4 linked regions of the Drosophila melanogaster genome follow. The protein of the gene in region 4 purifies or fractionates together with the protein of the main gene of each other region. This does not show direct contact. Each region holds a gene or a part of one and is shown on either strand. Other genes may lie near its edges.

The links.
Region 1: the proteins of Rs1 (region 4) and Cdc5 purify together in Drosophila melanogaster (affinity purification with mass spectrometry, with the first as the bait; one large-scale study listed by BioGRID). This does not show direct contact.
Region 2: the proteins of Rs1 (region 4) and Noc3 purify together in Drosophila melanogaster (affinity purification with mass spectrometry, with the first as the bait; one large-scale study listed by BioGRID). This does not show direct contact.
Region 3: the proteins of Rs1 (region 4) and CG2691 purify together in Drosophila melanogaster (affinity purification with mass spectrometry, with the first as the bait; one large-scale study listed by BioGRID). This does not show direct contact.

The regions. Positions count from the first base shown.
Region 1 is NT_037436.4:356,442-363,818, reverse strand, and holds Cdc5 (cell division cycle 5), read left to right. Parts: upstream 1-2,435; 5' UTR 2,436-2,690; coding exon 2,691-2,735; intron 2,736-2,804; coding exon 2,805-3,070; intron 3,071-3,129; coding exon 3,130-4,574; intron 4,575-4,633; coding exon 4,634-5,322; 3' UTR 5,323-5,419; coding exon of another isoform or gene 5,420-5,788; 3' UTR 5,789-5,968; downstream 5,969-7,377. Other genes in the region: CG1233 (uncharacterized protein), read right to left, coding at 1-1,392, 1,478-2,066, 2,120-2,161; Roc1b (regulator of cullins 1b), read right to left, coding at 5,420-5,788; CG1231 (uncharacterized protein), read right to left, coding at 6,360-7,377.
Region 2 is NT_033777.3:7,243,057-7,249,756, reverse strand, and holds Noc3 (nucleolar complex protein 3), read left to right. Parts: upstream 1-2,787; 5' UTR 2,788-2,873; coding exon 2,874-2,882; intron 2,883-2,934; coding exon 2,935-4,547; intron 4,548-4,605; coding exon 4,606-5,229; intron 5,230-5,285; coding exon 5,286-5,508; 3' UTR 5,509-5,525; downstream 5,526-6,700. Other genes in the region: CG1227 (uncharacterized protein), read left to right, coding at 337-452, 513-1,107, 1,166-1,300, 1,356-1,472; CG10053 (uncharacterized protein), read right to left, coding at 1,638-2,391, 2,461-2,507; CG14607 (uncharacterized protein), read right to left, coding at 5,916-6,700.
Region 3 is NC_004354.4:13,618,331-13,627,428, forward strand, and holds CG2691 (uncharacterized protein), read right to left. Parts: upstream 6,079-9,098; 5' UTR 5,976-6,078; coding exon 5,834-5,975; intron 5,777-5,833; coding exon 5,217-5,776; intron 5,141-5,216; coding exon 4,230-5,140; intron 4,171-4,229; coding exon 3,289-4,170; intron 3,224-3,288; coding exon 3,089-3,223; intron 3,027-3,088; coding exon 2,594-3,026; intron 2,526-2,593; coding exon 2,263-2,525; intron 2,205-2,262; coding exon 2,014-2,204; intron 1,943-2,013; coding exon 1,408-1,942; intron 1,336-1,407; coding exon 1,233-1,335; 3' UTR 946-1,232; downstream 1-945. Other genes in the region: Tango2 (transport and golgi organization 2), read left to right, coding at 1-72, 267-723.
Region 4 is NT_033778.4:8,160,407-8,168,668, forward strand, and holds Rs1 (Rs1), read left to right. Parts: upstream 1-3,157; 5' UTR 3,158-3,361; intron 3,362-3,593; exon of another isoform or gene 3,594-3,658; coding exon of another isoform or gene 3,659-4,100; intron 4,101-4,161; coding exon of another isoform or gene 4,162-4,196; exon of another isoform or gene 4,197-4,301; intron 4,302-4,390; exon of another isoform or gene 4,391-4,463; intron 4,464-4,473; exon of another isoform or gene 4,474-4,534; 5' UTR 4,535-4,549; coding exon 4,550-4,642; intron 4,643-4,700; coding exon 4,701-5,525; intron 5,526-5,543; exon of another isoform or gene 5,544-5,642; intron 5,643-5,709; coding exon 5,710-6,442; intron 6,443-6,502; coding exon 6,503-7,046; intron 7,047-7,107; coding exon 7,108-7,261; 3' UTR 7,262-7,363; downstream 7,364-8,262. Other genes in the region: CG8708 (uncharacterized protein), read right to left, coding at 1-523, 627-669; RagC-D (Ras-related GTP binding C/D), read right to left, coding at 1,497-1,818, 1,880-2,022, 2,082-2,300, 2,364-2,834, 2,916-2,918; CG30373 (uncharacterized protein), read right to left, coding at 3,659-4,100, 4,162-4,196; gasz, read left to right, coding at 7,637-7,720, 7,784-8,262.

The sequences.
Region 1 (7,377 bases), on a different chromosome or scaffold from region 4:
CGTACAAATGCGAAAAATCCTTGACTAGCAGATCCACTGCATTGTGAGACAAACCATCGAGTGGGGGAGCATTAGCCACTTCACTGGGTGTAGGCAGAACGAGTCCAGCTTCTGGTACAGCATCTTCCATCCACGGCCAGCACTCCAGATCCTCAGGTAGGTCATAGCCATCCTCGCTAGGCCAACTTTCACTAATAGACGGCTGAAATTCGCCAAGCGTTTCCGTTGGTCCCTTGAGCTGTGAAGTTACTTCCATTGGCTGCTGCTGCACGGGCGGAAGCTCCATCATGGTCATTGCCATCGGTTCTAGATTGGGCACGATTAAGTGCTCCACCTCGGTGCGATTCATTAGGTTTAGTTCGTCCACAGTGCGCAGGTGCAAGGTGCCCCTCTGCGGTGCTTTCAAAATGTCCACGTTTTTGATGAAGATCTTTTGCTTGGTCGTAATGGGAGCCGTAGGTGGCATGTAGTGCTCCAGCTGGACAGGTTGTGGTTCCATCATTGTCAGTGGATCATTCAGAGGAGGTGGCGGAGTTGCCTCTTCCGAAACAAAATCCACACCAAAATCAAGGTCCAAAGCACTAAAACGTGTGTTTTCCACATGGGCGGCAGGTGCTCCATTGCCATTCAGCACAGAATCAAAGGGAAATGCCTCGGAACACATCTGTGCGAGCGGGGCGAGGCTGGGCTCGAATCCTGGAAGCTGACACGTGGGCGTTAGTAGTGTCTCCGACTGGAAGACATCACCATCTGCTCCTCCTACAACCAGGCCACTTTGTCCTGGCTCTGCTGCCGACGGCATGGTGCTATTGAATCCCAGACCGGGCAGAGCAGATGGCAAAACCATCGGTTCCTTGAGGATGTCTACATTGCGGATATAAATCTTCGGCTGGCGCGGCTTCTCCGGCTCCCCGACAACATCAGGAACTTCAGGGAGACTATTGTCCGTATTGACCGAATGGTTCTGCAGCTGGAAGTCGAACGGCAGCAAAGCGGTCTCCCTGAGCACGTCCACGCTCTTGATGGAGATCTTCTGGATGGGCTTTGGCGGCGGAGCTGGTAAATTCGCAGCAGGTGCTGTTGGCATTGTCTGTTCGGTCGGCGATGCACCTACAGCCACACCTTCCAGCAGATCAAGAATGTTAGCGGCGGACCCGCTATCCGGCATTAAGGGCGGGAAATCCGGGAGTGGCTCCCTTAGGCAATCTACGCTTTTTATAAAGATGCGGCTCTTGGGTCGATTTTGGCTCTGCGACATCTGAGTCTGCTTTTTAGTTTGTGCTTCAGTGACTTTTCTGCCCATAAGCGCAAGTGTCTCACTGTCCTCCATTTGATGGTCCAAGCTGAGGTGCAAGCTGAGCGCATCGCTGGTGTAGAAAATGTTTGAGCAGCCTGTCGAAAAACACGTGAAAAGTGAATGCAAATATGATGAAGCATTCCAGCAGAGCACTCATATTGAAGGCGCACTATGCCTCACCTGGACACTGTTTCCTGTGCTGCTCCATATAGCAGTTGCCCTGACTAAGGTGTTGCTGAAGACGCATCTGGCAGAGGCTTAAGAATGGACAATTAGGACAGCGCAGGATAAGAGGCGGACCCTCCTGAATGATTGCCTTGCCCTCCACGCTGGCGCAGCTGGAATTTCGAGTTGGTGGCGTTGGCGTGGCATTCAGGCGATCCTTGGCTGCCGCTTCCGCAAGTTCCGACTTGATTAGTTCCTCCGACTTAATTTCCGCTGTACGCCTGCGGAAGGCATTGCGGTAGCTTTTCTCTGGTTGCTGCAAGTCGGTGGTGTGGATCTGGACAAAGGGAATGCCCTGATTGGGCTGGGACTCCACCGCCACCTCAGTAGGTGATCGATTCCCGCCATCGGCCAGCCACAAAGTAGTTCCAGAAGGGGTGGTGTTTGCAGCAGACGCGGAGGCAGATCCGGATCCCGATCCGATGACCAGCTCTTCGTCAAAGAATCCCCCGAAGTTGGAGTCCTGCTCCAAGGAGTGAACCGGCGTGGAAAGCGACAGGTCTTGGTGCGGATGTGTAGGATGCGGATGCGACAACGGGAGCAGCTGGAAGACACACGGCGTGTTTTTCTGGCCAGAGGTACTCGCTGGTTGCTCACCTGGTTGCCGCCGTAATATCCCGGATAGGTCGCATCGCTCATCGTGGGTGCCTTCCTTGGTCCAGTTGATTCCCGGTGCCGGATTCCGGTTGCCGGTTGCCGGTTTTCCGCTTCCTGGGCACACGCCTCTTAATTCCGCATCACAAAAATTGGCATTACGCAGAAAAAAAACTTTTCATCACAAAATAACTGATAGCGAACAGCTGTTGCTGTACACAGTGTGGCAGCGGTGTTTGCACAACTATATTCGGTCACACTGTCGCGTTATGTTATGTCGTGTGTATAGGCCCTTTATTAAATTGAATAATTTAAGTTACCAATATTAAGACCGAAGTTAAATCAAACGGTATACGAAGACTAAATACAATATAATGAAATTTTTTTGTACTAAGCTAGAATAGTTTAACTAGAGGTTCTATAAATATACCAAAACGTGCTGGAGATATCGCTGTTATCGAAGACTAACCATCGCTAGCGGCTACTGCAAAAAAAAGAGCGGAGTTTCGTGGACTCGAGTGAAAATTGTGAAAATCCATTGTATACGCGACAGAAAGCAACATAAGGCCCCAGAATGCCGCGAATAATGATCAAGGGCGGCGTGTGGCGCAACACGGAGGTAATTATCCCAATAGTCTATCGGTTAACCACACATGGCTTACATTGGCTACCGATTTCATTTTCCCAGGATGAAATCCTCAAAGCTGCGGTTATGAAATATGGCAAGAACCAGTGGAGTCGAATTGCCTCCCTCCTGCACAGAAAGTCCGCCAAGCAGTGCAAGGCCAGGTGGTACGAGTGGCTGGATCCCAGCATCAAGAAGACCGAGTGGTCCCGTGAGGAGGACGAGAAACTGCTCCACTTGGCCAAGCTGATGCCGACGCAGTGGCGCACCATAGCCCCGATCATCGGACGGACGGCAGCCCAGTGCCTGGAGCGCTATGAGTACTTGCTGTGAGTCCAACGCACAACATACTAAGTAGAAAATTTCTGATCCCTTTCCTGCCGTACAGAGACCAAGCCCAACGCAAAGAGGATGGCGAGGACACGATGGATGATCCTCGCAAGTTGAAGCCCGGAGAGATTGACCCCAATCCAGAGACCAAGCCGGCGCGGCCCGATCCCAAGGACATGGACGAGGACGAGCTGGAAATGCTGTCCGAGGCACGCGCCCGCTTGGCCAACACGCAAGGCAAGAAAGCCAAGCGCAAGGCTCGCGAAAAGCAACTGGAGGAAGCCCGCCGCCTGGCCACTCTCCAAAAGCGGCGCGAACTTCGTGCCGCCGGAATTGGCAGCGGAAATCGCAAGCGGATCAAGGGAATAGACTACAACGCCGAGATTCCCTTCGAAAAGCGACCTGCCCACGGATTCTACGACACTTCCGAGGAACACTTGCAGAAAAATGAACCCGACTTCAACAAGATGCGGCAGCAGGACCTAGATGGAGAACTCCGCTCAGAGAAGGAGGAACGCGAACGCAAGCGGGACAAGCAGAAGCTGAAGCAGCGCAAAGAGAATGAAGTGCCCACCGCAATGCTGCAAAACATGGAGCCCGAGCGGAAGCGCTCCAAACTAGTCCTGCCTACGCCGCAGATTTCCGACATGGAACTACAGCAGGTAGTCAAGCTGGGACGCGCCAGTGAGATGGCAAAGGAAATTGCCGGTGAGAGCGGCATAGAGACGACGGATGCTTTGCTAGCCGACTACTCCATTACACCCCAGGTAGCAGCCACTCCACGTACTCCGGCTCCGTACACCGATCGCATCATGCAGGAGGCCCAAAACATGATGGCCCTCACCCACACAGAGACGCCACTCAAAGGTGGCCTGAACACACCGCTGCACGAGTCAGACTTCTCCGGCGTGCTGCCCAAGGCGGCCTCCATCGCCACGCCTAACACAGTGATTGCCACGCCGTTTAGAACCCAACGCGAGGGCGGAGCAGCCACTCCCGGCGGATTCCAAACGCCCTCCTCCGGAGCCCTAGTTCCCGTAAAGGGGGCAGGAGGGGCTACGGGTGTCGTCAATACACCTGCCTACGTGAGGGACAAGCTAAGCATCAATCCTGAGGAGAGTATGGGCGTCACCGAGACCCCAGCACATTACAAAAACTACCAAAAGCAACTAAAGTCTACACTGCGTGACGGTCTCTCCACGCTGCCCGCTCCACGGAATGACTATGAGATCGTGGTGCCTGAGCAGGAGGAAAGCGAACGCATTGAGACCAACTCAGAACCCGCCGTCGAGGATCAGGCGGATGTCGACGCCAGGTTATTGGCTGAACAAGAGGCGCGCCGAAAGCGAGAGCTAGAGAAGCGCTCCCAGGTTATTCAGCGTAGTCTCCCGCGACCAACTGAAGTGAACACCAAGATTCTGCGACCGCAGTCCGAGAAACAGAACCTTACGGAACAGCAGCAGGCCGAAGAGCTGATTAAACACGAAATGATCACCATGCAGCGTGAGTAAACCCAACGTTTCCATTTTAACCCAAGTAACTAACGTCCTTTTTCTTGGCAGTGTACGACTCGGTCAAGGATCCCGTGCCTGGTCAATCGCAGCACAAGTTGGAACAGCTACAAAGCTACTTTAAGGCCAATCCCTACGAGGACATCTCGCAGCAAGAGTTGGCGAAGGCCAAGCAAATGCTCACCGAGGAAATGGAGGTGGTGAAGGAGCGCATGGCGCATGGCGAACTGCCCCTAGACGTTTATGCCCAGGTGTGGCAGGAGTGCCTCGGCCAGGTTCTTTACCTACCCTCCCAACATCGCTACACACGCGCCAATTTGGCCAGCAAGAAGGATCGATTAGAGTCTGCCGAGAAACGGCTGGAGACAAATCGCCGCCACATGGCCAAGGAAGCCAAGCGCTGCGGCAAGATCGAGAAGAAGCTGAAGATTCTCACCGGCGGCTACCAGGCGCGCGCCCAGGTGCTGATTAAGCAGCTTCAGGACACGTACGGCCAGATTGAGCAGAACTCTGTCTCACTCTCGACATTCCGCTTTTTGGGCGAACAGGAGGCCATCGCTGTGCCGCGACGCCTGGAATCGCTGCAAGAGGACGTGCGTCGCCAGATGGACCGCGAGAAGGAGCTGCAGCAAAAGTACGCTAGCTTAGTGGAGGAGCGCGATTCGCTTTACTCTCAAATCGAACATATAACTGGCGTCAGGCCCACGGCCCAGCAACTCCTGCCCGACCAGGAAGCGTAAACCTTCTTTTGGAACCCAAGTCCGTTCTTATTTAATTACAGTAATTACATGCCAGCAAACAGCTATCACCACCTAATATCCCGATCCATATTCCTCGCTAGCGGCCGTACTTCTGGTAGACCCACTCCTTGTTGTCCAGCGGACAGACCAGGCGCGTTTTCAACCAGCGCGCGATGCAGTGGTAATGGAATGCGTGGTTGCACTCGCCCCAAGCCACAGTGCACTCGTCTTGGTTTGCATTCGGGTCCGCCTGGCACTCGATGCACAGGTTCATGATGTGGTTACGGCAGATGGCACAGTTGTCCACTGCTACGTCCCATCCCCACATGGCGTGCGCAACCCATTTCTTCACCACAAAGCGCTCCGTCCTGGCCTGGACAGCTCCTCCACTACAGGATGGCTCTTCGTCATTGAAGTCCATGTCGTGGAAGTCCTCCGTCTCCTCAACCTCTATCTCCTCGGCCATGGTGTGAAATTACGAATTTTTTTTCTTTTTCAAAATACAACACTTATTTTCGTATTCGAATTTGATTTGAACTATTTTAAATTCCATTTGTTTTTGGCCTGACAGTTAATAAAAAAAAGTTGACCACTACCGATTTATCTACGAAATAACAACGGCGAATAATTTTAAAAATAAATGCAGAAAAGAAATTAAACCTTGTGATCATATTAAGTGGGGCTCAAGAAAGCTTATCATCGGTAAACCACTTTTGAATCCCTAAATTTAGACAATTTTTTTAAACAAGAAAGAATGTTATAGTCGAATTTCTCGACTATCAGATACCAGATAGTGGGAGTGAGTTTGAGAGAGAAATTTCAAAATTATCTTGGCATATCGATAGAAATTTGTATTCCTTTTAACGAGTTTAATATACCCCTCTATGAGTAATGGGTATGATAACAAATTACGGTTTTTATAATGCCTTTCTTAAACAAAATAGCTGTTTCCCAAACTCGAATGTCATTATTATTAAGGAAGCTTTACTGCTAACGGGAAGTCATGGCTTAGGCTTAGGGTATATCAAATAAATTCTTTACACGTTCTTCTCAGTTTGGGAAAGGTTTTTTACCCTCTTCAGGTGCTTCTTGCCAATAAAGTGCTGTTGCAAGGTGCTCTCATGGTTCATCATCATGTTGCAGGGCTGGCAGTAGTACTGACCCATTGGAGTGCGATACAAGGCCAGTTCCGCGGCATCTAATTTCTCCGTTTCAGGGATCGGCGCCTCCGAATGATTCTGATCCTGCCGGGAGGTCCTCCAGTTCTTTTGGTGCCTGGCTCCAGCCAAGTGGGCCTGCATTTGTGCAGCAGAGGTGACCACTATTTTACACAGGTGGCAGGTGCGCTCATTATCGTCAGACTTGATCACGCTGTTCTCTGATATTAATACGTCCGTAGGGGAATCTTTGGTTAAACTTTCCGGCTTGCGGAACAGACTCCCTATGCCGTAACGACCAACAGATGTATCACAGTGCCTGGCTCCGGAGGGCTTCGCGACGCCCTGCTCCACACGCTTGTGCTTCCGACCTAAATAGTGCTGGCGGGCGTGCATAGAGGAGGTAAGGTCCAGATTGCACAGCTCGCAGTGAAAGGCGTTTGGGCCGGTTGGTCCTTGCTTGGCCAGCCGCTTCACTGGAGGCGCCTCCAGACCCACCTCCGTGTAGTTCTTGGCCAGCCAGGCGCTGATGTGTCGGTCGTGGGCCTTCGATTCGTAGTGATCCCGGGCGCGCTTCCTCGAGGTCATCTGCACCTTACACAGCTGACAGTTCAGTGGTCCAATAAGCCTGTTCAACTCCTCCGGATAGCTCTCGTCGCGTCCGGGAAACAAGGCCAAATCGCCGTTAGCCTTCAACGAATCCTCCTCCATGCACTTAGCCTTCCGTTTCATGTTCGTCCTGATTGACCCATTATCTTTCTTGTCCGTTCGCTTACCAGGTGCCACCAACCTGTTACTGGTCGAAATTTCTGCGTCTGGATGAGATTCGATACAGGCACTATCCACACGAATTTTGGGGGTCTCTCCCGGTGCAAGGTGCGGAATGTGGAAACCTCTA
Region 2 (6,700 bases), on a different chromosome or scaffold from region 4:
GTCTTCGAATCAGCTGTTTGGAGTGCAGTGAAATTGCGATTATGCGATGACAGAATCTTGAATTCCTTTAATCTATACACCAAGGAATCAAAATAAATATTAATTTATTAATACGTCAAGAAACTAAAATCGTAAAAATAATACGAAAGTGCCTAGTTTTTAAAGTTAAAGTTAATATAGAATCTTACAAATATGGTTAAAAATCACCGAACTTCATAAATTCGTTCCAGTATAAACATTCCACTTCAGCTTTGTGTTTTCTATTTAGATTTTGTATGTGAATTGAACTAGTTGTTAAGCTTAAAGTTGTGAAGTACATAGCATAATTTAAGAAAAATGCAGAGTATAGGATGGACGCTGATCATGAAACGCGGCTGCCTCTTTAGTTGCCGCAAGGAGACCCTGAACATAAACGGATCTCGATACACAATCCGCGAAAGGCTGGCGACGGGGTTTGTACCACATTTTTCCCACTATCTCCTCTGATATATCTAATCTGAGTGTTTAAACAGGGGCTTCAGTCTAATCGACCTTGGGGAAAACGCCTCCACGCGACGTAGCTATGCGATAAAGCGCATCACCTGCCACAGCATCGATGATCAGAATATAGCTCTGCGAGAAATCGAAAACTGTCGAAAAATTGACTCGGAAAACGTGATCCGGGTAGTGGATTACGAGCTGAAGGGCCAGGCGGACATAGTTATAAACACAACGAGCACCTTGTTCATTGTGCTTCCCTATTACAAGCACGGATCTCTTGCGGACCACCTTCAGCTGCGATCGCGGAAACAGGACCACATGCCCGAGGCCCAGATCCTGCAAATCTTTCTGGGCGTCTGCGAGGGATTGAAGGCCATCCACGAGGCAATGCCGGTGCCTCTGGCCCACCGAGATCTAAAAACGGCCAACATCTGCCTGTCGGACTCTTTTGAGCCAATTATTGTGGATCTCGGGTCAATGACAGAAGCCCGACTGCAGATTGTGGGCCAGACGGATGCTCAGCGCTTGCAGGACGAAGCCGAGGAGAGGAGCTCCATTGTCTACCGGGCTCCAGAGTTATTTACCGTGAAAACATATTGCACAATTGACGAGCGCACTGACATATGGGTAAAGCAGATCCAAGAGAGCGTTATTGAAGTTCTTCCTTAACATTTCCCTCTTTCAGAGTCTTGGCTGTGTGCTCTATGCAATGTGCTACTTTAATTCACCCTACGATCCCATCTACGAGCGAGGTGACAGCGTGGCTTTGGCTGTGCTCAGTGGGAACATAAACATTCCAGAGGATTCAATTTACACAGAGGTAATAAACCTTTTTTTTATATTGTAAAGGAAACTAATTCCAAATATTTGTCTAGGACATGCACGAATTAATTAAGTACATGCTGCGAACAGATCCAATGGAACGGCCATTCGTGTTTAGTGTTATCGAAAGGACCCACGATCTGATACAGAAACTGGAGGGTCGCTTGTAGCTCCCACTAACTGGATTACAACTCATTTATAGACATTCCTCCAAACCAGATACACCGCTTACTGTTTTTTGACTACTTATTGTAAAATATTTTAAACCTGCTGATTTTATGAAATTATGTGTAAGCAATCAAGCTAGTTTTTTTATTTTATTTTATTGATTGGAGCTAGTGTTCGTCACGAGTGAGTCCTGGACAGTTGGAGCCCAGATCTTCGGCGTCATCGTAATGGGTCCCACACCAATAGCAGAAGCAATAGGCTGTGCGCAGGTAGCCAGTGAGGAGTTCTAATTGCTCCGAGGGACTGTATGGTTCTTGCTTAGGTGGCACCTCGACTTCAGGATCGTCGGCGTCGCTCTGTGATTCATCTTCATCTTTTGGTTTAGGTGGCCAAAAGAAATCGAGATCTGGTTCTGTGATAGCGGACTTAAGATCCAACGATTCGCAGGTCTGCTGGCACCGTTTTATGTCATACTGTAATTTTCGCTCCTCCGCTTTATGGGTCGCGCGCCTCCTATAAGCCTCTGTACTGACTTCCTCGTCGCTTTTAATGCCGGCCTTGTTTAGGAGATGTGCCCTCCGCAACTTCTGCCGCTTGAGGGCCAACTCTGCAACGGCTGCCTCGCGCCCAAGTCCTCCACGACCGCTCTTTATAGTTATCCCCACGGGTTCAGTACGAGCATCCGAAGTTATGCCCAACCCAGAACCGGCTTTGTAGCCCATCTTGGCCAGTAGCTGGAATCCTTTGTTGTCGGCGGAAATTGGTTTGTTGAGGGACTGTTGAAGGCGAACATTGTCTACGTTCCCGGAAGAAGCTGCTGTCTCCCGTTGGCGCTTCTTCAGCTCATCTTTCTTGGACTCGACTTCAATCTGCCGCTTTCTGCCGCGATTGTGCACCAAACTCGGTCGGACATCTTGCAGACTAATGAGGGAAGGATGAGAGTTTTTCATAAGGTGGTTGGTTGTTAGTTAGGTGTGAGTGTAATCTCACCCAACCAGGAATTTGTCGGACATATAATCCTCCTCCTCGTCAGACATCTGTTTGTTTTGTTTACACTTCTCACTTAAGTGTGACCATTGCATAGTTATCTACAGCATTATTTCGATAATTTATAATAACAATGATATCTCTGCTATGAAGATTGAGTTCCGAAAATTGTATTTTATAGTATTGGTTCTGTTTAGTGATAAAAAAAACAGCCAGTTTGTGTCATTTACTTATTTCTTCAAAAACAAAGTATTTTAAGTAAGCGCATGTAAGATACTAAACAAAATACTATCCGCTTCTGAGCAGCTGTTGCGCTCCGCTGACGAGTGGACAGTTCCGTTGGCGTTCCATGTGCTCGTCCCATTCAGAAGGCAACATTTGTGAAAATTAACTATTAGTTGACTAAAACGGGTGCAATGGGAACTGTAAGTGGAAAGTAAAATTATTTAATGCTTATTCTAATCCAAATCATTGTAGAAAAAGGTCAAAATCAGCTCGGTCAAGCGGGCTGCTCACCTGAAGTCGAAAAAAACACCGCTTTCTAAGCAGCAGCAACAAAAACAGAAGCAAAAGCGCGACCAACTGAAATCGAAGCGCGAACAGGGTCAGAATATATTCTCCCAAAAGGCGAGAAAGCGGGACAACTTAGCACAGCGTAAAAAGCACAACAAATTGGCCTCCCTGGGCTTGGATCCGCTCGAGGAAGACAACGAGGATGGCGACGATGAGATGCTTGAAAACGTTGCGGACATGCTGGATGGCGATGATCTTGCCCTGCTCCAGGCTAACAAACGCAAGCGAAAGGCCAAGACGACCGGCGAGAATGATCCTGACCAAGGACAATCCATCGGCTTGGAAAGGGCCTATGCCTCTGACACGAAAAAAGAGCAGGACGCGCAAAAAATAAAGTTGGATTTGCTGCCAATCAAGTCCAGGGATGGTCAGATTATCACCCGTACGACAGAGGTGGATTACATACCTAAGCCCAAGCAGAAAAAGAAGAATGAAGAAGAAGAGGAGGATGATTCCGAGGAAGACGGTGATACGGAGTATGAGGACAGCGATGACGATGTGGTCAATGATGTCGAGGCCGCCACCGCCGCTCCCGTCCAAAAACTTATCTCTACCACGGATCTACTTATTGCCCGGCAGCAGGAGATCGAACGCCAGAAGTATCGCATTGGAATCATTTGTTCCGGGCTGCTCGAAAAGCCAGAGGATAAGATGCGCAACTTTCATGCTCTGTACGAACTCATGGACGAAATCAACCCAGCCAGTCGACAGGCCAACCTAATGGCCGTCAGAAAGCTGGCCATAATCTCTGTCACCGAGATATTCAAAGATATCTTGCCCGAGTATCGAGTGGGTCAGGTCGACACCAAGATGCAGACGCTTCGCAAGGCCACTCTTGATCGTGTAACCTTTGAAAACGCCTTGCTTCAACAGTTTAAAAAGTTCCTGCAGAAACTGGAACAGATCACAGCGCAAGTTAACAGGAGAGGTGGTCTAAGGACGCCTCAGACTGTGAAGTTGGCCACCGTGGCAGTACAGTGCATGTGTGACTTGCTTGTGGCACATCCATACTTTAACTACGTTCAAAACATTGCCCAGCTTCTGGTGTATATGCTGAATTGCAATTATGCAGAGATGCGAACGGCGGTCCATCAGTGCTTCCGCACAGTCTTTTCCAACGACAAACGGTTAGAAATGACTCTTTTTATAGTGCGACGCATCAATCACTTGATCAAAACGAAGCAGAACAATGTTCATGTGGAGTGCATCACCTGTCTGATGGGCCTTAAAATCAAGAACGTAAACCTAGATGCCGAAAAGGAGAATGAGCTAAAGCAAAAGAAGCTTGAGTCGCATCGTCAACGCTTACTAAGCTTGTCCAAGAAAGAGCGCAAAAGACGTAAGAAGCTCACCGAGGTTAACAGAGAACTAGAGGAAACCCGTGCCGAGGAAAACAAGCAAGCAAAGCATCAGAAGCTCACCGAGATCATAAAGATGGTGTTTACCATTTACTTCCGCGTGCTTAAGAACGATCCCACCTCCCGCGTGCTGAGCGCTATTCTAGAAGGATTGGCAGAGTGAGTGGTTATTGTAAATCTCTTTCCTGGAATTTTAAATATAGAGGATGATTTTTAGGTTTGCGCACGTCATTAATTTGGACTTCTTCTCCGATCTAATCGATGTGCTCAACCGCATTCTAGAGGACCAAGACGAGCTGGGCTACCGGGAGCGATTGCACTGTGTTCAGACCATATTCGTTATCCTTTCCGGCCAGGGTGAGGTGCTAAACATCGACCCCATCCGATTCTACCAGCACTTTTACCGAAATATGCTGGCGGTGCAGGCAGGCAAAAATCACGATGACTTCGCCATTATTTTGCGAACTTTGGATGAGGTGCTCGTAAAGCGTCGTCGCAATATGAGCCAGCAGCGTCTAATGGCCTTCATGAAACGCTTGCTTACTGGAAGTCTGCATCTGCTCCATAATGGCACCCTGGCCACGCTTGGCACAATAAAACAAACCTTCCAGCTCACTTCTGTGCTTGACAACCTATTGGATACAGACACTACGATAGGCTCTGGTCGTTACGATCCCGAACTGGACGATCCTGAGTACTGTAACGCAGCAAGCACAGCGCTGTATGAGCTTGCGCTTCTGGCACGTCACTATCATCCCACGGTGCGACGGATGGCCGTTCACATTGCTCATGGAGTGCCAGCAACGGGCGAGGGAGCTTTGCCCACGGAAATTGGCAAACTGTATGTAATAAGACGGCAACTACATATGTGACTCTAACAATTATTACTTTCCTTAGTACCTCCCACGAGCTGTTTACGCAATTCGACAGCACTCAGATGGCTTTCAATCCGACAATACCGCTGCCAAAAGCGGGTCAACCAAAACTAAAAAGGGGCAAACACTTATATATTCGCTCGGACTTCAAACAGGAGTACGGAAAACTGCTGCAGCAAGGAAAAGTTTCACAGACGAAGGATAAACAAACCTTACAAATTGATTTTTTCAGTGCACTTCAATAAAGAAAAATTTGAAGATTGAAGTAGAGTTATAATGACTGCGGAATAGTGTGGAAAGAAATGCAATTTTTAAACAATACCCAACTTGTTTCCCAATATTAAACATTCTTCCAAATACGTTCTCAGTTAAAGGAAGAGAATACCAAGTGTGATACCAGGATTTGATTAGCCAGATAATAATCGAACAAATTTGTTGTTAAATCAGAAAGGTGCGAGTTGGTTTTAAAACATGAAACCATTCATTTGCTTAGAACTTCTCTGTAATATATTTCAATTAATGGGATTTTTACAAGTTATTATGTTTGGAGCTCCTAACATTCTATATAGAGGCTAAGTCTAGAGTCACTAAGAGTAGTGTCATATAACCGGGTACAAGTCCCAGGGGTTCGCCAGAATTTTTCATTCGCTACCTATGCATTGGTGCCTCCTCGTTGTCGCTGTTGTCCAACGCTAGCTGGTGGCAGATACTCTCTATTCCCGCCCGACTGCTGTTGCCCGAATCCAGCCACTGAACTCTCGGGAAGAGCTCCGGCGGCAGTGGCCAGAAGCCCGACAGCAGCTCCCGATGGCGGTAATCGATTGGCTCCAGTGCTCGGGACAATGGCGGGACGAAGGACAGCCCCAGCGCCATACGGGCTTTGGGGCTGAGCGGTTGGGGTGGGCGTGGCTGAAGGATAGGACCCCCGGCCGGAGTTATATCCAGCAACCTGAGACACTCCGGTGGCTCGAAGTGTTCCAGTCGTGGCCAGAGGTGCCCCGAAGGCAGCCGAGGAAGAAGCGGCCGGACGGTAGACGTTGTTGGTATTCGATGTTCTCAGATTGGAGCCACTTCTCTCGGAGTAATCATAGATATAGGCATTGTTCGCATATAAGCTGGGCGCCGAAACGCAGTCGTACTGGTTCCACCACACACAGACTAATGTCTCCTGGCTGAAGACTGTGCCATTGGGACACAGGAAGGAGTAGGTCCGGTTGAGGGCACAGATATGGAACACCTGGCATTGGGCCTCTATGTCCGCATAATAGCCGGGTAGGGGCTGTTGCGCACAGTCAAAGTTGGTGCGCGGCACCTGGGCATAAATAGGATAATCCACTCCAGGAACACCCGGAATGGCCGAGTAGTCTCCATCGGAATCGTTGTAGTCCCCGCTGTCTCCCGTTCCACTAGCAACTCGGATTGGAGATCCACCGGGAG
Region 3 (9,098 bases), on a different chromosome or scaffold from region 4:
GAACTACAACGAAAGGCTGCTCAAAGATTGCACCAAGTATTCTGCCTTCAACTTTGTGTCCATCGAAATTGGGTGAGTCTGCGCCCATTCAGGTTAACCTGAATTATTATATATTCTAATTATATGCATATTAGTATGTACATATATTGCTTTATGCTGTCTTTATCTCCGAATTATACGTATAAATTCTGAATAATATGCAATAACATTAGGGAACCATTAGCGAAACATTGATACCATCTACTGCACGCCTTCGTTCTCAACAGATCTGCATCCCAGCCCGCTCGCGTGAAGCTGCTGAGCAATGTGCCGCCCACGCTGGAGGATTTCCAGAACGGCGAGTGCTACGGATTTGGCAACAGTCTGCCGCACTCTCCGTTCGAGAAGGTGCGTCATGGCAAACAGGAGTTCGAGGCGATCGTTAAGGCTCATGGGGAAGCCAGCGTGGAGACTCTGTCCGCCCAGCTGATGCAGTTGCTCCGCAACAAGCACAAATTCTGGCCGGACGACGAGCTAAAGACACGTGCGCCCAACTGGGGCGAGGGATTGAGTTCCCTAAACGTCCATATCGAAGAGCATGCCTATGGCAGCCGTACACACTCCGTTGTCCTGGTGGACAGCGAGAATAAGATGCACTTCATTGAGGAGACAATGACTGGATTGGATCCGCACGGCGAATGGAACAAGACCCACATTGAAAAGGATTTTCAAAACGGCGTTTGACCACGGACAGGATGACGCAACTTCTTGACGCAACTATCTCGTTCGAAGACTTTCCTCTTTTGTAGAATAACCTAATTGGCTAATATTCTACCAATCTGTATTTTGACTCTGGCATTTGCGATAATAAATAGTCATATTTACTATATCTTTAAAGAACATAAAGCTTGTGTGGATTTAATCTAACGTTACTGCTCTTCTTTCTGCCACGCATCGAACTATGTTGCTTTCAAAATTCTTTATTCAAAGTCTTTGCAGATCAAAACAAAAAAAAAAAAAAATACATAACTATTCTGTTTCTGTTTTTCTTTATCTGTGGCATTTACAACGTCTCCACATGTTCATATATATATATTAAGTTATATTTATATATTTAAGCAAAGTAACAGGGGAAATAATCATCAACGTCTTAGCTTCCTTATCAACAGACCGCACTATCCCAGTGTTATTATACATCTCTATATCTCTATAGCTTTACGAGCCTGTTAGCCAGTTGGCTTGAATCGTCTGCCCTATTTGTATTTCTTGGACACCCGGCCACCGCCGGCTCCTCCATTTTCAGCGCCAGCTCCTCGCAATACGCTCTTGAATTTTCGCGAATTCATTGAACGTTTTCTGGGGGCGAAAGAGATGGAGTATTAGATAGGGACGGGTATATTAATAATATTAAACATTTTGGATACACACCTCTTGTTCAGGTTATTCCTAGTGAGTGGTATATACGCATATGGATCCAGTTTTCCGCTCTTCTTCATATCACCCTTGGCCTTCTTGCTGCCGTACTCACTGCCCGCTGGGCGGCTGGTGGATTTGCCTGACTTCACGGACATGGCATCCGAGTTTCCAGCTGTCAGCTGTCGATGAATGCCCTTGCCACCGGCAGTGTAGCGACTACTGGCAGTGGTTTTGCCCGATTTCATGCTCATCGCATCATCACCCTTGCGTACACGCTTGGGTACTAGCTTCTGCTGCAGTTTATCTTCGTCGCTCGAATCGTCTTCCATGCCACGCTTAACCTTGGGCTGCTTGGCTACAGTGCCATACGCCATGGATGCATCGGAATCCGAGTCGTCATCGGACTGATCGTTACCGCCCTGGCCACGAAGTGCCTTGTCGCTGATGATCAGGCGTCCATCGTCGGCAGTCTTGAAGCCACCGTTCGGCAGCTGAGCTTTCGTCTTTTGACTCTGGGCAGGGGTGGCCGTTTGAGCGGAGCCACTGGCTGGAGTGGGGCAAAGGCAAAGAAACAAAAAAAGTGATGATTTGTGCGATTTTCAAACGACTTCAACTTACTCAGCACATTGCCAATGGACTTGAGATCGGCCAAATCGACTATCTCATCGGGATCCTCGCGAATGTAAGTGCTCTTCTGTTGCTTAGCATTCTTGCTACGCTTGCTAGCTGCGGCTGCAGCTCCGGCCTCATCCTTAGCGTCCATATCTTCGGGCAGATCCGAATCGGAGTCAGCTAGCATATCATCAATGCTGTGGAAGGGATTTTTTTTAGTTATTTGGGTAATTACTGTGTATGAAAAACGCTTACGTGTAGCTCTTTTCCTGCAGACCGCTGACCAGCTCATCATCGGAGCTATCCTCCTGCGCTTCCAAGTTCTGTTTCTTGCGCAAATCCCTGCGCGTACGCTTGCGGATCATCTTCAGCCGGCGATGGATTACATCGTCATCGCCGGGAACGAAGCCGGCCAGCTCCCCGGGGCTAAAACGAATGCAGAGCTTCTTAAGCAAATAACCGATCTGGATGCGGCAGTATCGCTTCGTATCCTTGGTCATGGCCGACAAGGAACGCATCTAAAGGAGGGGAAAGAACTAATTATTCGGTTCAAGTGCCTAATTTAAATGTCGGCGGATGTGCTCACAATTGCCTCCAGGTGATTGGCCACCAGTGGTATGGGCATCACTTTGATGAATGTAATCAGAAAGGCAATGGCTGCCTCCGCTTGCTTGCGTGACTTCTGGACGAGGAAAACAGAGACCTGCTGCAGGACAAACTCCAGAGTGGCCACTGTCAAGTGCTCACCCTGCTGCTGGAGCACAGCCCTAAAGGCCAAAATTGTGTTCGTCACCAGCATTTCATCGCCGGCAAATCCTGCCGTCAGTATATCAACAAAGTCGTTAATCTTGCCGGCATCGTGATAAAGTTGAGTAATAGATTTGATTAGCTGCTCGGCCACCTGTTCCTTGTAATTGGAGAATTCCTTATAGTTGAGCACTGCCTCCGGAATGGCCTTCATCACAAGTTGATCGTTGTACGCCAGATTGCTGTGGCAGTCTATCAGGGACTTCAGGCAGCTGATGATTGAAAAATAATAGTTTAGCCTACACTTTAGCGATCATTTAGCACTTTAACTTACTGCAAACGCGATGCCTGACAAACGTTGCAGCTGGTGTTAAATGAATCGAGAAGGATTTGCTGCAGGACAATGCTGTTCTTGCGGGTAAACTTCTGGCATGATGGCAGCTCCGAGGTCATCAGTTCGCGAAGTAGTCTATAAATAAGAAGGGCTCATAAGTACACTGCAGTGTGACTATGACTAACAACAAGTGTACATACTCGTAGGTCTTCCTTTGCTGCTTTTTCAGTTTCTGCTCATCTTTGGCGACCAATTTCGATTTATCGTTCCTCAGAATGGGAGCCATGTACTTATCGAAATATGCTTTGATTCCCTTGCATGTTTGCACGCGCACTATGGCAGCATTAATGTCAAAGAAAGCGTCGTATTCGAAACTGGCCAAGGCACTGGCAGCCAATTGCTCTTGGGCGTTCTCAAAGAGCTCCAGTTGGACATCAGCCGGCGCCCGGGAAATATACAAACGAATGACTTCCAGAACACGCTTGCGCTGATCGGCCTCGTAGGTTCCATTCGGTTTCTGCGTATAGATATTGAAGAGGCGAGGCAAAAAGTTCTTGGCATACTGGCCAATTGCCTGATGGCATTCCGCACTTTGGTTGTCACCGAGCAGCTCCATCAGACCATCGTAAATGGGAGGCCTAAATTCCGGGTTCTTTTCCACAGCCGCACCCAAAGTGGGAGCTAGGTACCGCAAGTATTCAGGATCCCTTGGCTGACGACAGAAGCCAGGGAACAAGCCCCACAACTGGCAGCACAATAGCTCGTAAATGTGTGATGAAGAATTGTTCTTCGCCTCGGCGAACTCCTTCCACTTCAGTTGGCAGTCCATGGCCAGTGCTACAATCTTCTCCTTGAAGAACTGCAGGCTGGCACCGTTGGCTCCCTCACGGAGGAGGGGCAGCAGCCAGGATCGCTCAAGCTGCATGACGCCCTTGCCATCGGCAAGCGGTATAGCTGTTAGTACCAATTCGGGTCCCAAAGCCTTGATGGCACTGATCACAGTGTGCTCGATCTGCAGACGATGTGCACTCTGGGTGTCGTAGCGCTTGCAGATTGTCATCAGCGGGGGTGTGAGTTCCGAACTGAAAGCATTATAATATTATTAAGCATTTAAATATTATGGCACACATTGCAGACCAACCCGAATAGCTTTCCACAGGCCTCAAAGACGAACGAGAAGATGAGGATCACGAATCTGGAGATCTCTCCGAATGGAGCGTTTAGCATCTTGTGCAGTGAAGCAATTATCCTGGACACACTTTGCCTGTTGCACTGTGCATCCTCCGCTGTAGCACAAGCGCGCGAAACACAGTCTTGCAGCAGCTCCTTGATACAATTTGAGACACCGGCAACCAGCTCCTTTTGGTCCGAGAGCCAAAGATCCGTGGTGCAGACATCGATCAGACGCGGCAAGGCCTGCATACAAAGATCCAGCTGCATGGTCGCCAAATGGAGGTGGCCCTCCTTTAAGACCGTCACCCAGGCGATCGTCTGCCGGATGTCGCTTTTGTCTGGCCGGTACTCGTGTATCGCTGCCAGCAGTTTGGCGCAGAGTGAGGCATTTAAATTGGGGCTTTTTTTGAGGAAAAGGGAGTACAGTGTCTGGAAACAGTTCGTCCTAACCAGCACATTGGCCGCCGTCATAATGGAAAGCAGATGCTCGCAGACACTGCGTATGTCCTCCGTCTTGAAACCGTATAACGTGTCCTTGAGAAGCTCCAAAGTGTGCAGCACTGTCGTCTGTGCATTGGCCAGTACCTCCGGCTTGAACTGAGCCAAACAGAACTTGGCCACGCGACTGCTAGCCGGATGATGCTTAACCTTTGGCTGCTCAACCGCTTCATCCATTTCATTGTCATCTGATTTGATAGCCGGCAGCATGAAACAGCTGCCGTGAATAATTAAGGCAATTGCATGCTGGGCTGCCTTGCGGATCTTCGGCTGTGAGTGAATGCTGAACGCCAGAATGGCATCAAAGTATTGGAACGTCGAGCTGTATGACCATGCCGCGTAATCCTGGGCGCGCAGAATGACAGAAAGGCAGCCGATTACCTGTAAATGGAAAAACACGAACATCGACGTTAAATACGTATTTAACAGCTTTCTGGTAAACACATTTTGCACTTACATGTCGGATGACCGACTGGTTAGTGGACTCCATAAAGCGCTGGAGCAGTCTCTGCATGGTGTCAGCGGTCTGGGCGAATCGCTTTTTGAGAACCGGAGCCGGCACCGAATTAATGCCCATGGCAAGCAGTGTTACGCCGGCCACAATGTCCCGTTCCTCGGTAGCGGCCTCGATCTGCTCCATGAGCAGCAGGAAATACTCTGTAGACGACTCGCCACCGCCGTTCTCGCGGATTATTTCGGTGAGGGCGCTCAGAATGGCCAGCATCTCCTTGTGAAGAGCGGACGAGGACCGGAAGCTGGTGACCAGTTTCTGGAAGCATGTGTTGCTGCAACCGCTGTAGTTGGAGGCGAAGGTCTGGAAGGTTTTGATGGTGCCGGTGGGGGCGGTGCCGGTGGGAGCGGTGCCGGAACCGGACATTCCGTCATCATCGTCATCCAGTTTGAAACTTCTCAAACTGCCGGCCACATCGTTAACCGTTGTGGTTTCCGCATTAAAGGCCTGACTCTGCTCATGCTTGTGGACCGCCTCCATGGTGAGGCCGGTGGTCGTGGCTGCAGCTGTAAGGAATTTGGTTACAGGTGCTAACATAAGATGGCAAGTAAGGAAGAACTCACCCAAACTTAAATTGGGCTGAAAGAATCGCGATTTGGCCTTCATGCGGTGCTTCATCTGGGTGGGATTGGAGGTGGCCGATTCGCCTCTGCTCCATGTCTTTCCCTTGCCATTGCGCTTTAGCTTCGATCGGAATTTGCCCATGATCCCCCACGCGAGAAATGCTCGAAAGAAACAGAAATACTCAATGCACGCAAATCGCAACACGTGCGAACCAGTGTCCCCGCTCGACCGATAGAACTGACAATCGAAACTGCTATCGAATGGCTGATCAAAACTCGATGACGTACCGTTGTAAATTTCTAATCAAGTTCCCCACTTTGAATTGCAGTCCTGGCTAGTTCTGCTCTGCTACCTACCACAAACTAGTTGTGTGCTTTTGAATAAGCATAAATATCTGTTTCCCAAATATAAAAAATATATTTTTTGATTAAAAGATTTAAAAATACTAGTGGGGGTGTGTTGATTATTTCAAGGTGAATTTCCACCCAAGCTATACACCACACGATATCAAATTAGCTAACACACCAACCTGTTATCGATATTCCCCTTAGGAATGTCGATAACGTACGTGGCCGGTCTGGCAGCTCTGTGCAACAAGTTGAAAAATAGAAGAAGCAAATAGAAACAGCGTCCGCAAATAGTGCGCAAAATAGTGTTTTTTTGTTAACGTGCAACAGTGACATTGTTAAGCCATTGAATGCAAGTGACAGTGGGACCAGAAAAACAATGCAAAACACTTGGCCACGCAACAATAACAATTGAGCAAGGCGCACACACACACACATGTGCAGGCACCCACTCGTGTAAGAGAAAAAAAGAGATAGCGCGAGTGTGTGAGTGAGCGAGAGGCAAGAACTGTAACTGTAATATAATTGATAAAACAAAAAACGTCAGGAGCAGGAATCCAGTGAAAGAGCGGCTGTGGCTGAGGGAAAGAGAGAGAGAGAGAGAGAGAGCGAGTAAGAGGACAGCGAAAAAGAGCTGAAAAAGGAGGAGGAATTGTTGTTGCTAAAAATAGCAACAAATAGACAGGGCACGAAGAAGAAGAAGACGACGGCAAATAAGAGCAAGAAGAAGAAGCGTTGACGCAGGCAAAAGTCGCAGCCTTGTTGGCCACTTGGACTCTTACTTTGTCCCGTTAGCCAGCTAACGCTCTCCCGGCGAGCAACAACAACAACAACAAACATCGATAGCAGCAATAACAATAACGATATCAAGGAATACGAGATCAGCATCATCAACACAAAACAAAACAAAAACAACAACAACAAGTACGACGACGGACCAAAACTATGCTTTTGAAATTCACAAAAACCAGTGGCGCTGGACCCTCGGCCGTACCGCTACTGACCACCGCCCCCGCGACAGTCACCAGTTCGGCGTCCATGCAGGCAACAACAACAAGTTACGCGGCCCGTGGAACAGGTTTGTACCCCACTCTCTATCGCCCCTTACCCCCTCTCCCTCTCCCTGTGCCCTCTAACTCATTGCTTTCCACTTCTCTTTGCTCTCTTTTTGTTTTGATTTGTTAAGTTTAAGGTACGCCAAACAGTATAAATAATACACCTTGCCCACATTGACGTCCGAATTTCAGTAATTGAAATTATGGCTAATCGAGGCTTGGGTCTCAGATTATCACATTTTAATTTAAGTCACTCAAAGTTATATTGAAATAATTAAGATATATATTCAAACCATACTTAGAACTTATCCTAAATGATATTATACATTTCCTACGAATTTTTCGTTCAATTCAATAGTCAGCTTGTTAATATAATCAAACACTTGGTCAAAATGTTCTTATTGTTAACTGTTTCTATTGGGCATTGGAATTTTGCTACGCATTTCTTTCGGCTCTATTAGAACCTGTTTTTGTTTACTTGCAAAAAATGGGTGGTGGTGAACCTTTGTATATATACACATGTATGTACATATGTACATTTGTGTACATAAGATAAGGGCTTAGCTCTTATTTGAACTGAAAAATGTTAATAACAACGAAAATAGTATGACTGATAAATACCACTACTTGTTATCCAGTTAGTTTATGTAGAAGGTGTCGTTCAATAGATCTTTGAGAGAGTTCATTTGTTATTTGTATCTTTCGTACGGTTTGTGGGCACTTGACGCAAATAGATGGCAAACAAAAATAGACCGTCCGAAGGTGTACACATATTTTGGGTAAAAATATTGCTCCCCCACAAATAATTCTTGATTGATTTCCGCCCCTTCTGCCGCCCACGTTTCGTCGCCCACTCTCGATTATACTCTAACGATATCATCAGCCACGTTAAAAGAAAAACACAAACAAAAACAATAAGGAAAATACTATTTGGCCCCCACAAACTTTGCGACATTGAAAGCCACGCACGTGTACCAACACACACGTGCATTTATGCTTACACGCACGCACACAAGCACGCATTATGTGTGTACAATGCTGACACGGGCGACTACAGGGCTTCCTCAATATGTGGCACCAGCTGAGGGTAATTGATACCGACAGACTGGTTCACAGTTGTGTTGAGGAATTGAGCTTTTATTGTTTATTGTTTATTGCGGCTCTATAATTTCCAGTAAGTTCTGGCGCAAGAAAGTGTAAGCATGTCTGTATTTCCAGTTATAAACACATCACTTTCTAACTTCAAATTTCCTCTGCTTCTGTTTTTGTTGGCTTCAAGTTTCACCGTATGAGTTATCACTGTAATTGTACATGTGCTTTATATTTTTTTTTTTTGACATTCTTTTCATAATCGTTTCTCTGCGACCAAGACAAGTGAAAAGTGTTTTTCTGGAGATCCAACTCCTAGGAAACACCTTGCGAATCCTTTTCAAGTTTTTCCTTCAACTGTTTGCTCGCTATTCAATTTCCCAACCCATTTTTCCGGCTTACCAGCACGCCCTGAGCCCCTGGCCCCTGCCCCCGCCCCGCTCAACTGTCTCATTTCATTCCGCTCTCTTGAGCCATTTGTTTGCTCCGCTTAATGCCCATATAATCAAATTGAATTGAATTGAATTGAATGGGATGTTTTTCCAACAAGGTCGCGGCTCCTTGGCAACCTGCTGGAAAACTCAGTTAATGTATATAGTTTCCTTTTGCGAGGGTGTGTCTGTTTTAGATGGGAAAACCCACTCGAAAGCGAAATGGAAATGGAGACAATTGAAAGTGGCAGGACAAGGAATTAACAAAGTGTGTGGTTGCACTTGTTGAGCAGCAAGTACAGTGGTCAGTAATTTGCATATATCAAATAGAAATTATTCAAC
Region 4 (8,262 bases):
ATATACCGCATGTTCTCGATCACGGCGTAAGTGTCGTCATCGGCCTTGTAGAAGAAGTCGGCGTCGTTATAGTGGTGATGATAGACGTACTTGAACGCCTCCTTGACCTTGGCCCATAGATTCTCCCGTCCCTCGCCCACGTCGAGCTTCACGGTGGGCAGCTCCTCATCCGCGCCGGAACTCATGAAGAGCAAGATGTTGCAGCGCTTGCCCCAGGTTCGCTTCACATGGCGAGCCTTCTTCTTGTGGTTTGTGGGATTGGTCATCACCCAGCAGAGGATGCGTACCTCCTTCTTCAACTGCTCGGCCACGCTGACGTTGTCGTTGCGATGATCATGCTTCAACCCGCTCTGCTCCGGAGCCAATTGACCACCGGTGGCCACCTGGGAATCGCTGAACCGTCTGCTGAGATACGGATAGAGACTCTCGTGCGGCGCAATGCTGGAGAAGATTTGAGCCAGGCAGTAGCCGACCACCAAACCAGCAATCAAGGTAAACACCGAGCGATTCTTAGAACGCGGAGCTGCAATTGGTCAGTGGATTAGGTAGCTCATAGATAGTTGGTATGATCAAAGACACTAGAATATTCTAGGGTCTTTGGTATGATATATGTGAGGATTATGCACCTTCTGTTAGCAGGGAACGCGACAATAGACTTGCACTCGTCATTCTGCACTTATTGGGGTTTCCCTTTCAACTGGGAACACAGAATGGTTCACTTGTGCAAACAAGAAGTGGGTTATGTGTCCAATTATTGTCTTGCACGTACGTCAAAGACTCTATTTTCACCCGCAACTGAACCCTAATGGGATTGCCAAGCGACTGAGCACCATAATCTTGGCCTGGTCTGAAGCTACAGTTCCTGAAAACAGTTGATCAAACATAACATGTGGAGTAGCCGATGTAAGGAGAAAGAGATGGGTCTATGTACTCTAGCGGGTTAGGAATGTTGTGTAGGAAGCAAGTATGAAGTTTCCAAGATAGTTTCTTTCTTATATATTTACCGAGACAATATATTGTTTCGCTCATCAAAATAGTTTGCTTTACTCAGCGGAGAGATTTTAGATCATGGCTTTCGTCCTGTGAATAGCTGCTTTCTCAAAAGATTAAAACTAATTATCTTTTCTTAGAGTTTCAAAAGTATCTAAAAACAATGAACTATCATAGAGTATAGCACTTACAAAAAGTGATCCCTAACATCTTTGTTTGCTATTTTATACTGGTGCGCTGTAACGTAACAAAAATTAAGGAAATAAATTAGGCAAGAGCACACTCGTATTTAAAAATAGACATGTTTATTGGTAGTATTATCAATAATTTCAACCGCTGGGCAATTTTTTACGCTGCTCTGTGAGAGTGGCGTCCTAACGTATCAATAGACAAAGGTAACATCAGATTTAACGGAAGAGAACGTACAAATTGGAATCAAAGAGTCCACAGAGAAGCTAGCGTAGGGGGGCAATAAAAGGGGCTCTCCGCTTGGGGATGCAGTGCGCCTAATTAATTGGCTGCGCTCGCGAAATTCCACCTGCGTCGTGGCCATGGCGAATCAGGGTCTGCTCATCGACCAGATCATCGTCGTCCTGGTCGTTGTTCTCCAGCTGCTTCTGGCGCTTTAGCCGCAGCTCGAATACCTCGCTGATGGCGTCGCGGAAACAGATGAAATTGTAGTCGATGACGCCCTGCCGGTTGAAGTTCTCCTCGCGCAGGATGCAGACCAGGGCCAGGAACTTGTTCACCTCCCGCAGGTAGAGTATCGTGTTGTTGTTTAACTTGATGAGACTAGAGCTCCCGCTGTCAAAGGCGGTTTCTTCGGAGCTGCGGTAAAGCAATGGTTATTTAGGCAAAGCAGCAAATACATCGAAATTAGTTAGCTTGCCTGTATATGCTGGACAGATCAATGACCACGTCAATCATATCGCAGCAGAGCTCATACGTCTGCATATCGACTGGTGACGAGTCCGTGGCTATGTAAATTTTGGAAACCACATCGAACAGAAAGGCTTTTTCTATTCCGGAGTTCTGCAATGGATAAGGAATTAACTGCGTAGTTCAAAAACAACAATGCAAGTTTCGTGTACTGGTATAAAAATGTTCAGCAGATTCTCCAGCGTCGGAAGCTGGGGAATCAGCTTCTGCACCACCTTGGAGAAGGCCTCGAAGATGGAGTGGTCGTATATGGAGGTCAGATGGAAACTCAGGTGGATCTGATCGAGGCCAGCCTCGTTAAGGTCATCCGACGACCGCTGGTGTATGTCCCGCTGCGATTCCATTTTCGAGTCGTCGCTAATTCCATCCACCTGGGAAAAGAGCATGTGTCGCTGGGTTATCAACACGATAAGCGCCCAACTCATGGATATTACCTTGTGTATAAACACCTCGAACTTGATGCGCTTGTTCACTTTGTAGGCCTGCAGCACTGTGTTCTTGAACTTGGTCAGCGCCTCGTTGTAGTCATCCTTGGCATCGATGACAAAGACCAGGGCTCCACAGCCTCCAAAGATCATGTCAGAATCAAAGGTCGGCTCGAAGAAGTCAATCTGGCCGGGGAAGTCCCAGATCTGGAACTGCACAAAGCTGGAGTTGTTGATGTCGTCCTTCACGATCTTACTGGTCGACTCCAGGAAGAGCGTCTCGTTCGGCGACATCTTGTGGAAGACCACTTTTTGGATGGAGCTCTTGCCGGATCTGCGCATTCCCATCAGCAGAATGCGCGGCTTTGTCTCGCTGCTGCCCGTTGCATTGGGCTCCAGTTCCAGGCCATCCTGGTTGTAGGCCCGGTAGCCAAAGTCCTTGGGGAACGTGTCCGCCGGATAGTCATCATCATCGTAGCTCTGAAAGGGCGTGATTGGGTGCAAATCAGTCGGTTGCGATGGGCGGGGGCCAATGGCGATATGGCTTCTTTGTCTACTCACCATGCTGTCGGAGTCTACCGCCTTCCACTGGATTCTGGTTTTGGGGGTGGGGCCGGCCGTAGGTCAACGGATGTGTGCATGAAACGCACAGGCAATGGCTATAGCGGTCACGATCAGTTTACCTTTTTCTGCTTTTCCTGCGCGTTTCTTATCGCAAACACAGTGTGTGCACACCTGCTAACCGAACTCAGCTGTTCCTATCGATAGCAATCAGCTGGCGCGATTACCAAGGATGCTGCCGTATGGTCACACTCCGACCACGTAAAAAAAATTGGCGCGAATTCATAAAAAATTTTTAAGTCTTATACTTTTATACTATAGTTTATAATCCTTTTCAGCTTCTGCGCCGCGTGATAAAAAGAAAATAGGCGGGCACATGCCGTACTCAAGTATATAATATATTAATCTATGTGATCGGGGTATACAAAGGAAAATGATTTGCATTTGTAAGACTAAAGCTATAACTTTGATGATTATTTTTAGCCGATCCTATTTAAGAAATCTCATATTATATTTTTACATTAAATTACTTTAAATGAAGGGTTATTTAAACAAGGAAGCCAATATAATATTCAATTTCAGTTAAACAAACAAAAACAACCAAAAATTGATTGCAAATATCACCAAGCCATTAAAAAAGATTAATAAATAATTTACCCTGGTAGAAACATACATCTTCTAGTTATTAAAAATGTTTAATTTCACTTAACGAAACAAAAACGTACAACAAACCAACCCTACGACTACTGGGCGGCCAACTTGGCATCCAACTGGCCCAGATCAACGCCCAGTTCCCTGAGCCGTCTCTCCTGCTCCTTGGTGTCCAGTCCGTGTTCCTTGTTGTACCTGTAGTTGACAGTCAGCTGCACCTCCTCCAGACCACTGACATGCTCGTACAAGTTGCCCTCCAACCGGAGATCGATGTCGCTCTCCTCGCGCAGCGCACAGAAGTACAGGAGGAAGATGGCCAGGCTGGCGGAGATTACGTAGGGTTGGTACCAAAGGGTCTCGTCGCTGCCACCACTGCGGGTGTCCTTGGCGCGCCAAGTGGCCGCCTGGCTGCCGAAAAACTTGATGGGCTCATCGCTGACCATGTCGTCATCCGATTTTTGGCTGGCTGCTCCTTGGTTCTTCGCATAGAAGCGGGATGCAGGTGGAGTGGCGCCTGTCGCTGGCATCAGTTGGCTACGAAGAGAGCCTATTGTTACTACTGCTGACTAGGTATTGTATCATTATAATAACTCACCGCAGCACCCTTGTTTTTGTAAGCAAACGCAGCATTTTCGATGGGAAACTCAAGCAAATTTCATAACAAAATTGGTTAAACAGCTGACGATTTAGAGATGAGAGCTATCGCCGGCACGCAATTTCGTGATGTATTGATGGCTTGAAAAACAAAGTAAAATATCAATTATGATGAAAATAATATGTTGATTTTACTTAGTAAACTTATGTTTATGGTTATTTGAAATTACTTAACATTAAAAGAGCAACAAACTAATATTTCCACAAATTCCACCCACGCTTGCAAACGATGATTTGACCACCGGTTCGCCCATCTCTAACACGCCACACGTGTGTTTTAAATTGTAAACACGCGCTGGTGGAGTTTTGAATAGTTCTTTGCTTCAAAAATGGGTGCAACCAAGAACCTGGACTTGATAGGCACCATCGAAGACGATGCCGAGGTGGAGAACTTGTCGGAGGACTCCGATGCGGAGGTCGAGGTAGGTTGCTCACACTTTTAAAAACGATAGCAAAACTGAGTTCCGAGTGCCTCCGCAGTACCAACCCACAAAACTGAGACACAAGAAGGTGACGGAGTTTGAGAAGGGCTTCGAGTTCGTGTCCTCAGTGAAGGAGTACAACCAGGACACTTGGGACGACCTGATGAAGTACGTGAAGCGAAAGGCGCGCACAAAGACCGACGACAAGATCGCCGCCCGGCTGCAAAAGCGGGGTGGCGCCGAAGCTGTGGCCGCGGAGCAGAGCGATGGAAGTGAGATAGATCTCTCCGAGGACGAATTGAAGCATGACAACCTGCGGCTAAGGGAGAAGAAGGAATCCAAAAAAAAGAAGAAGAAGGCTGGAGAGGAGGATGAAGAGGACGAGGGCGAGAAGATGCAGTTCGCCGACACTGTAGAGGCGAACGAGCAGATCACTTCCTTCTACCAAATGAACCTTTCACGTCCCCTGATGCGTGCCATCGGTGTGCTGGGGTACATATATCCTACGCCGATCCAGGCCTCTACGATTCCTGTGGCTTTGCTAGGTCGCGATATCTGCGGCTGTGCTGCCACGGGAACGGGCAAAACTGCTGCTTATATGTTGCCTACTCTAGAACGTTTGCTGTATCGTCCTCTTAACAACAAGGCCATCACCAGGGTACTGGTTCTTGTGCCCACTCGTGAGCTGGGCGCCCAGGTTTACCAGGTGACAAAGCAATTGTGCCAGTTCACCACTATTGATGTGGGTCTGGCAATTGGTGGTCTGGATGTGAAGGCTCAGGAGGCAGTACTTCGCCAGAATCCCGACATTGTCATTGCAACGCCAGGTCGTCTAATCGATCACATTAAAAATACGCCCAGTTTTACATTGGATTCCATTGAGGTAAGAAATCGAGGTGAATTTAAGTTGATGATTCTCCATCCTTGCGCTCTGAGCTCTTTGCGGAGCTAAGAGGATAACCTGGTTCTTGCTTCTGCGCGGCAGATGCAAGCTGATTCCACAGGCATTGTGTTTCCTACGTTTACTTTACCTGAATAACTTAAATATCTTTTGATATCCCGAACAGGTTCTCATTCTGGACGAGGCCGATCGTATGCTGGACGAGTACTTCGCCGAACAGATGAAGGAGATCATCAACTCCTGCTGTAAGACACGTCAGACCATGTTGTTCTCCGCCACAATGAGCGAGCAGGTCAAAGATCTGGCCGCCGTATCGCTGGACAAGCCCATCAAGGTGTTCGTCAACAACAACCAGCAAGTGGCCTTCAATCTGCGTCAGGAATTTATTCGCATACGTGAGGATAAGGAGGGCGACCGTGAACCCATTCTGGCTAGTTTGATTTGCAGGACGTTCCATGATCATTGCATGGTATTTGTGCAAACCAAAAAGCAGGCCCATCGACTGCACATTTTATTGGGTCTCTTGGGCGTCCGGGCCGGCGAACTGCATGGCAATCTCACCCAGCAACAGCGTCTGGAGTCCCTCAAGAAGTTCAAGGAGGAGCAGATTGATGTGCTTATCGCCACAGATGTAGCTGCTCGTGGTCTCGATATTGTGGGCGTAAAAACGGTAATCAACTTTGTGATGCCCATCACCACAGAGCACTACATCCATCGAGTGGGTCGTACGGCTCGAGCTGGGCGTGCTGGTATATCCGTTTCCCTGGCCGGTGAAAAGGAGCGCAAGATCGTTAAGGACATTATCAAGAATGCGGAGAGTACCATTAAGAATCGTATTATTCCGCCAGAGATTATTGAAAAATATCGCAACAAACTTACAAGCTTGGAGCCAGAGATTCGTAAGTTTATATAAATGTAACATTTTCTTAATTTGCGGATGTAAATGTATTGTTTTGTAGAAAACATTCTGGACGAAGAGCAGGCTGAACGGCAGCTAGCCAAAACGGAGCAACAGCTCTCCAAAACGGAGCGAAAGCTGCTGGGACAGACCAACGAGCGACGTGGTTGGTTCCAGACGAAACAGCAACGCGAGGCGGAGAAGGATCGCTTAGCGTTGACAACCGGCGACGAGGATAAAGCATCTGGTGGAAAGGGTAAGGGAAAAACGGCCGGAAAGCGTAAGCGACCCGAGTACGGAGGCGATGGCGAGGATGGACCACCGGTCAAGGATCTCGAGGCAAAGCGCAACAAGAAGAAGAAGGAGGAGCCTCGAAAGAAGACACCGGAGCAGCTGGCCAAAGAGCGAGCCATGAAGGAGATCGAGAAGGTGTCCCTTGTGCGCGCCAAGATGGCCAAGCTGCGCAAACGTCCGGGCAAACTAGGAGCCGCCACCGAAGTTCACAGAAGCGGTGCCTCCGACGGCAAACCCAAGCGACGCGGCGGTCAGTCGGCATTTACTAACGACTTGACCGATGTAAGTCGTGGCGGAGCTCTGCGTCTAAGGTGAGTAGCTCTTTCTCGCTTTTCGTTGATAGTTGTTCTAATTTTGTACACCCTTTTCCAGGTCCGAGGCCAATCGGCACAAAAAGATGACCAAGATCGCTGCTAAGAAAAAGGCGAGCAGTGTGAAGCTGACAAACAAGGCGGGAAAGAATAAGTTCAACAAGGGCAAGAACTTCGGAGGACCTCGTCACGCCAAGAAGGATAAAAAGAAGTAGAGCTGCAAACTACGCTATGTTAAATCGTATACTTGTAAAATAAAACTTTTTCTTCTTTAAGGCATTTAATTTTTTTAATTTGCTTTAAACATATGACACCTCAAAACAAAATTGCGAATCTGCATAATCAGAGTGTTAAACTTTCTAATATAACTGCAAATTTACTATTGCTTAAATTAGTTTCGGTTATCTTAATTTAGCTTAGTTTAAAAAGCGCGCCATGATATCGATAAAAATCGATTGTGCAAACTTTTTCAGAACCTCGCCTCCCCTCACTAGTTTTGTTTGCCATTTTCCTCCTTTCGCCTTTTTCCTGAATTTGGCCACAATTGTTGTGTGCTTAAACTGCTAAATTAGGTTTATATAAGTACCTGTATGATGAGCAACCTTTGCAAATACGGACCGCCCCCAGATTCCGACTCTGATAGCAGCTACGATGGATTCTACTTCTCGGATAAGGTATGTGTTCCTTGTTCTGTTCCTTCTGGTGTTCCTTGGGTGACTTGAGTAATTTCTGTATAGGTGAAACGCTCGAAACCAGCTCCTTACGTGGATCCCGAGCAAAAGCTCTACGATGCAGTCGTCGCTGGGGATCTCAAGACGATGCAGGAGGAGATGCGCAAACTCGTCCTCCAAGTGGATCAGCCAGTAAAAGGTGGTCTTAACTTACTGATGCTCGCCTGTCGCGAGGGCCACTACAAAATAGTTGAATGGCTGCTGGAAAGGGCAGGGGCCAACGTGAATCGGCAGCTGGATTCCTTGATGCCGCTGATGATGGCCTGCAATACCACCCACAAGGATCCGTGCCTGGCGGAGAGAATTGTGGGCCTGCTCTTGCGGCACGGAGCCGTGATCAATGTTTCGGAAAAATATGGAATGACACCCTTTATGTTCGCCTGCCAAAATGGCTTTGCCGGCGTTGTGCGTCTGCTTATTAAGGATGCTAGTTTCGATGCTGTGGATAATCAGGGCTGCACTGCCATCTTTCATGCCATCGAGAA